Linked DNA regions of Coturnix japonica. The protein of the gene in region 1 purifies or fractionates together with the protein of each later gene. This does not show direct contact. Links are inferred from orthologs where the notes say so. Each region holds a gene or a part of one and is shown on either strand. Other genes may lie near its edges. The genes, in order: WDR19 and IFT122.

The links.
Region 2: the proteins of WDR19 (region 1) and IFT122 purify together in Homo sapiens (affinity purification with mass spectrometry; 4 studies listed by BioGRID and IntAct, counting the BioPlex papers as one, with this or other methods). This does not show direct contact. The link is inferred for Coturnix japonica from reciprocal best matches to the Homo sapiens genes WDR19 and IFT122.

What each region holds. Positions count from the first base shown.
Region 1 is NC_029519.1:62,637,763-62,641,583, forward strand, and holds part of WDR19 (WD repeat-containing protein 19), read right to left. Parts: coding exon 3,810-3,821; intron 3,478-3,809; coding exon 3,371-3,477; intron 3,039-3,370; coding exon 2,916-3,038; intron 1,378-2,915; coding exon 1,228-1,377; intron 694-1,227; coding exon 546-693; intron 1-545. UniProt on the Homo sapiens protein: As component of the IFT complex A (IFT-A), a complex required for retrograde ciliary transport and entry into cilia of G protein-coupled receptors (GPCRs), it is involved in cilia function and/or assembly.
Region 2 is NC_029527.1:16,810,115-16,813,935, reverse strand, and holds part of IFT122 (intraflagellar transport protein 122 homolog), read right to left. Parts: intron 2,891-3,821; 5' UTR 2,857-2,890; coding exon 2,744-2,856; intron 2,430-2,743; coding exon 2,250-2,429; intron 1,572-2,249; coding exon 1,496-1,571; intron 954-1,495; coding exon 762-953; intron 1-761. UniProt on the Homo sapiens protein: As a component of the IFT complex A (IFT-A), a complex required for retrograde ciliary transport and entry into cilia of G protein-coupled receptors (GPCRs), it is required in ciliogenesis and ciliary protein trafficking.

The DNA.
Region 1 (3,821 bases):
GGTAAAAGAAATGTGGTAACCAGTGAAGGCTGCTGGCTGTTAACTCAAGGTTTTTAATTCTGACAGTCACAATCTACTCTAAAAGAGGATGTTTGCCAGTGAAATAGAAAAAAGTCTGTTAAAACTTGTAAATGATAAAAATCATTTTCCATATGTTGATAGATAAAGTTCTTGGCATTTGCCACTCATGTAGAAATAGCTACGGTTACACTTCTGATTAATACTATAAGTGAACAGAAGTTTTATCTCTGATCCTAAGAGCTTCTCTTGAACATTCAAAATACAATTGAAGCGTAATGCGTAATTATAAGACAGAAGAGTATAAGAGCAAGAAGATTGAAGGGTTAAATCAGAATGTCTCTTGCTAGAAGTCTGCAGAGAAACCTACACAACGTTTACTTTTTTATTAGACAGTTACCTTCAGAACCTCTGTACTGTTCATTTTCATACACGGATGTGGAAATATTTAATACAAATTAAAAACAGAATATGCTTTGCTTTAATAACTGAAGCAATTGTGGAGATTTTCAAAGCATTTACAGTACCTTGAATGGCGTCTTTATGAAAGACATAAGTGTATGCTTTGTCATCATCATAAGCAACAAAAACACCTTTATCCATTGGCCAGTTTTCCCAGAGGATTCCTTTAATGGTTGGTGAGAAATTTGGAATTTCATATATTCTATCATTCACCTAGAAACAATGCAGAAGTAAAATTACAAGGAAGCAAGACTAATGATACAAGCTAAATTTTCATTCAGATAACGATTAAAAATAGAGGAATAGAAGTGGTGCAGAAATACAAAATTCTTATTACAAAAGTTTTCTTATGAGCTGTGACTCTGAATAGTGTAATTGTTTAATTCAGAAGGGAAGTAAACACAGAAAATACATGTCACAAGCATGATATTTACTTTCCTTGGAAGAAGAGCATTGGGACAGGCAGTACTGAAACTGAAAGTTAGCACTTAAACATTAGCTAAAATTGTATTGGAATACACTAATATCTAATTTCTGAAAGGCATTTAATGTAATTCAATTACTCTGATCTACTATGACACATTTCATTTCTTTACATAACTATTCTTTACCATTTAAGCCCTTTTGGCAATTTCTTCTTCTAGCATGTGTTGAGTAACAAAACTTCTATTGATAAAACATGCTTTACAAGATAGTTGGAGTCCTAGATTGTAAATATAACGGCATGAGTATCCCATACTAACTTACTGGGCAATAGACAAAGCCATCACTTTTTTCATCTATGAAAGCCAGTCTGGTTCCATTAGGATCTGGAAAAATTTTTCTCACGCTGACAGGATGACGATATTCATTCACATATTGCCAGTCTTCGATGTAGAAATAATGAATAACTCCAGTCTAATGAGAAAAGAAAAAAATGGAAAAAGCTAATATTGACACTAATAAATGGCAAGTAGATCATGAATTTGATTGTGGGTTGTTGGTTTTTTTTTCCCCATCTTAGAGATCTGAGTAAGAACACGTGAAAAACAGCATTTCCAGCTTTCTTTTGACTTTTTTCCTCATTGAGAGATGTTATTGGGCAGCATAGGAAAACTTCGTGGGAGTGAGATAAAAAAGAAAGAGGAGGACCTTTTTTATTTGAAAGGAAAAAACCCACCTCACTACCTCACCTCCTGCCTTTTCCAGTGAAAAAATAAGAATGTAGAACAGCTGTTAATTATTTCTTATTTCTCTAACTAGCACTGGTTGTATCATTAACAATTTACAATAAAAAAATACCCAGAAATAAACTAGGAATACAGAGATTGAAATTAATTCAAATAAACTTTGGATGTCCTCATTTAAGAGCATGGTTAACCACTGTGGAAGTAGAATCTTCAGCTAAGACCTAAATTATCAACTGAAAATGATTCACAGAAAAAGAATGGAAACTAAGTGGTGCTATTTACGTAGTCCTGTTTTGGTTCCTTCTACTTCACTTGCCCTCACACAGAAGATAACTGTGAAACAGTTTTAGGAAAGAGGGAGGAAAATGGGTGTTCTTGTTCTCACTTTGCTTTATGGAGACATTACAGTGCAGTTCTGAAGTGAGGGGAAATGCCTGCTTCTTTCTTGAAAGAAACGTAGCCTTCAATCAATGCTGAATAATGTGCCGCCCAAGAAGAAAGACAAATTCAGGCTTATTTAATACAGGGGGAAAAGCAAACAAGCTTACTGGTGATAAACACTATTTCTCAACTAGTGTTGCACAAACAAGAACACCAGAAGTAAAACAAGCTTTTGAAGTCAATTGTAAAACATCTACACACCCAATGGATTGGTTCTGAATTTACTATTTAAAATTTATCAGTACTAGTTCATTCCAGTGAAGAGCACAATACAATGTCAAACATGCCCTGTATTCCCTATGGCAAAAAATACTAAAACAACAACAACAAACCTCATACAGAGGAAAATCTCCTGAAAAGTCCACAAGCATGTTCACATTATGGTTCAGTAGTAAGCTGAGACCTACATTTACACCGTAATACTTTCTTACCTCATTATCTTTGGGTCCACATCTATCATGTTACCACCTAAATAAATATATTTTCAAAATAAGCCAAAAATTTTCAAAAATTTTTTTCTTATATCTGGAAGATGCTTTGATTGCCAATCATGTCACTACTACAGCAGAATTAAATTCTGCTAGTAAAAAGAGCAGTCTTTTGAACCAAACCCTAGTAAAACAATATTCCTGCCAAAACATCTCATATAAGTGCAACAGTTAGGGGAAGTTGAATGCAATTTTGACTGCTTTTGCATAGAAAATATTCTGAAGTAAATTTCTCAGAAGGATTTTTTTTTTCTGCAAAAATTGATAATAATTCAAATCACGTGAACAGAAATACCTTCAATTTTAAAAGATGCTTAAAAGCAGAGATAATACTCACATCTGTACCATATATGAGGAAGTCACCAGTCAAAGCATGGCACAAAATTCGGTATTTATCATCATCCGCTGGGAAGAGTCGAGTTTCTCTTTCTTCCTGAGCATCCAAACCTTCACTTTCTATCTAAACGTAAGAAAAAAAATGACCTTCAAGACTACACTGTAACTACACCGTTGATATCAAAGTTTTGCCTGCATCAAACTGTCCAGAAATGAGTTTTCCTGTCACACAATTCACAAGAAAACACTTTCTCTCACTTGTTCTACAGTAGCTTCTATTTCTAAAGTTTCCAGAAAATCAGTTTTATATTTTAATTAGCCAGCATAAAAAATAAAGGACTTTATTTCTATCTCCATCAACCAAAGATTATTCCACTTCATATAATTTTAAAATTTTCTTAAACTTGTTCAGCTTAAATCTATTAATTCAGAAATCCAAACTGACAGAGCTCTTACCATATGCAACTGGACTTTACCCTCAAAGAGAGCAGCAGCGTAATCAGAATTAAGATGCATGCTTGCTACTGTACCCAGATACTCTGCATCTTTAAGCTTTTTCACATCTACAGAGAGAAAGAAACATTCAACATTTCATTACCAACATCTGGAACTTGAAGTTTTATTTCATTTAATTACACTGTCTTGTCATAACTTCTTCAGATGGGGAAAATCATTATTTTGTACTAATAGGGATATTTGGCTTTTTTTTTTTTTTTTTTTTTTCCCCTTTCCTTTTTAGTAATGAATGAAAGACAAAATAGAGTATTAGTGAAGAAATAAACAATTAAACTGTACAATGCAGAATGGCCAGCACAGCTAACATAATGGCACATTCATTGAAAAAGACAAGCAATGAGGTGGCTGCTTAAAATAAGAGAATGAAATTAATGCTTACTGTTTTCTCCAA
Region 2 (3,821 bases), on another chromosome or scaffold:
TTTCAGTGAACAGGTACATATAGGTAAGACTTGGCAAAACATGTAGTATTCATATGAGAATTATGTTCCATTTCCTGCATAAGATATAAATATAGACTGAAAGCAACTACAGTTATGTGTATTCAAACAGCTGCAAAAGTGCTGTTCAACTTTGCAGTACAAAGTGAGGACTGATGCTATCATAGCTTATACATATGCTGTGTGTTGCTTTGGTTTTGTTTTCTTGTGGTGCTTTCCAGTGTATCCACCTCCCACACACACCCTTCCCCCCCCCCCCTTTTTTTTTTTTTAAATCTGCTCTGCATCTCTTAAATTTGTGTATCAGCACAGAGTGCAGCATTTACAGTAATAAATACCCTGTTGGTATTTCCCACAAAGTATAATGCCAGAAGCTCATACAGAAACAGAACTCAAAACTTTCTTCCTCTCATGGAATTCAGTTTCATCAACCTGGAAGTCATTAGCTGTTCTCTGCTGTGTGCTGTTAGTCTATTTATTTTTATTTTTTTAATAAATAAAATTCTTTTTATACCAAAATGCAGCTAATTCCTCACAACCTGAAAGCAGGCATTACACTCATTTACCAACTTCTTGCAGTCTTAAGTTTTAATTTTAGAGGCAGCTTTAGAGCTCGCTAAACACTGCTTAGGTTCTGCTGTCTCAGTAGGGATATACAGATTAGGCAAATGAGTTTGAAATGTATGGCCTTAGCTTTCATGGCAAACTGTCTGTGAAAGTGCCAGTAAAATGTACCTACTCACCACATAGTTAGAGTCTGGTTTAGCTTTGCAAGTCCACACCCAGCTGCTTTGCTCTCCTATGGTTCCAAGACGGACACCATCCTTTGTGAAGAGAGAAACTTGTTTATCCGAACCTCCCAGTAAAAGGTACTCTCCCTTAGTAAAATAGCTCACACAGCAAGGGTCAAAATTGAGCATTCTGTCCTTCCCAATCTACAAGGGAAAAAATAAATACATCAGCAGAAGGGAAATTTCATACTTTTCTGAGGCCACTAAAACAGATGAAAATAAACACAAGGATCCTCTTGGTGGGACCTGCTCTCACTGAGAACATTCTCAGCTCTCCAGCCACACACAACTTTTTAATACCCTACATCCATCAAGCTTCCAAAAGGCAGCTCTAAATCAATCCCTCCACTTTCAAATCAGCCCACTCAGGGTGTGAGCAATCAAACAACAACCAACTGGCTGAAAGAAATGCAGAGGTCCTCTAGGAATCAGTCAGCTGTAACACAAAAGGGATCAGAGCTACAAGGTCTTTAATACAAGAACTGGAAGACAGCAGCTGAGTTGTTGCAGGGGAAATGAGCCAGAGGAAAACTTGGTTAAAAAATACTGAGTCATAAAAAGCACTGGAAAATAAAAAACATTTAATGTAGCTAGCAAAGCATGACTATAGGAACACTTTGAATACAGGGCACAGAACCAAAGCAGAAATACCCTGCTATTCCCGACTGCACTTCCCAAAAACATACCTGCTTGCCACTGAGCTGATAAAAGGAAAGCCTCTGACCCCAGTCTGCCACAGCTAAAGTATCGTTGCGTTCATCTCTGACAACAAAAAAGGCGCATGGTCACGGCAGTTTATCCATACGTTTCTCAGGGCAGTAGAATCAAACAGTAAGATAGCAGAATATATTTCAAATTCCTCATAAAAACCTCTACAAAGTGGAAGCACAGCAGAGATGCCCTGACATTTCAGCTGAAGAAAACAGCTTGAGGACACAAAATTAAAATCTGTCAACTTTTCAGGAATAACTGCAAAGTTTGACACAGCACTTGATGCTCAGCATGTAAGCAGTGGGTACAGTGAAGCTGCACCTGTACAGCAGGCACAGATCCTGATCTTAGGGATCTACACAGGAGTACAGAGCCACTGAGGCATCAAAGACAACACTGCTAAGCAAGATTGGACTGTGACTATCAGAGCACATGGCAGGAGATGAAATGGCTCCTGCAGGACTGGGGCAAGCTGAGGAAAGGCTTCAAACTGGTTAAGTGCAGTGAACCAGAGAAATTTATTACCTAAGAAATGTCGTCATTAATGCATACTAGTGGAATAAATTAAAACAAAAAAGACACTTAATCCAGAATTTGGTAACTTTTGAGTTTTGCACCATGCATAAATACCTTCTGCTTCTGGTCCTTTTAGCAAATAGCTCTTCTACGTTACGCATGTATATATATGTACATAAATGTATATATGTTATCCATTGTAGTCTCACTCACAAGCTGAAATGCATAGCCTCTTCTTTCTCATTGTCTTCTACCTTTTCCTCATTATCCTGCCCACTGCCAGGCTTGGGTTTCAATTCTGGTATCTCCTCTAACTGGCTGTTATCTGACTTCTCTAAATGGCCGTTATCTGAATCTTCTTCATCTGCTCTACTCCAAAATGTCTCCCATCGACTGCAATAGCAATTGTTTATTTACATATGGCACAGTAAGTGCAAACAGCCCACCCTCCTCTCCCCCCAAAAAAGCTGAAATCCAACAATAAAAAAAATCCAAATCCACGTTTCATGATATCTAGGTGGAATTTGTTCCCATTTTCTTTCATGTAATGAACAGCTGACAAAGCCCCAACATGTAACCTCAACAAAAGGTAACATCCCATCACCTGCTGTGAACCTGCTCCAGCAGGGATGCAAGTCAGGCCTTTCTGCTATCAATAAACCAAGGACTAACCAGTCAGTGTGGAAAAGGCTGGGATGATTATTTACCTGGATGGATTCCAACAGATGGACCATATTGGTGATGAGCCAGCCCCGGTACGCTCTATTTTAACTTTCTCATCACCATTTTTATTCCGTATGCTGATGACTCCGTTGAACATCCCCAAAGCAAGGTACTGGCCATCGTTTGTCCAACTGATAAAACACACACGTACTGAAGAGAAAACTACTAAAACCAAGCATCAGGAAGGCAGAATGGTACAGCATAATCAAATAGGCATGGTATATTGAAATACATTGTTAAAGGGAGTTCTGGAATGGAGCCAGTAATCCTTAGAGTTAGTTTGTTTACCAATCTAAATCTGCATTTATGGCAACAGCATGCAATACAGCAAGAGCTTTTTATTACATACATGGATTAAAAAAAGGTGGAAAAAACAACAAAAAAGTTATCATCTGCTTGTGGTGTTTGTATCATGTACTAATTAATAGATGCATTTTGGGGAATGAGAATGTTGGCAGTAGACCAGGCTTTTCAAAGCCACATCTGGAAGACTGAAACTGCATGTGATGGGGACAGGAGACACCTGCTTTCTCTTCTTGTCTCTACTGCAGTTAGCTGGATGACTCCAACAAACCTTGCTTCAGGTTCTGCAGAGGAGTAATAACACCTTCTGCAAATGCCAACAACATAGAAGATGAACAGCTCTATGAGAAAACTATACTCATCTTTCCTCTAACTTCATTTCATTGCTACTGCACAAGTTGGCTAAACAGATGGATACAGACGTTCAGACACTTGCACAAGACCAGAGCATCTCTCTGATACCTTCCAAGGAGTTACATATATATTGTATATATTGAAGAATTATATATATACTGTTGTAAACAGTACCTAATAGAAACCAAAACCCTCTGCTATCTAAAACAAGGACAAAGAAAGAAAGACAGCTCTCTGAGAAGACAACACAGGAATGAACAAATCATTTTTTATAAATATCTGTCTTATTTCTATCTGAGTATTCTTAATACTACTCTAATATTTTAATTATGAGAATGGCAAAGTTGCATGAAATGTGATGCTTCTGAACAGCAGCTTAGGAGAGCCTCTTTCCTGCTGGTTATT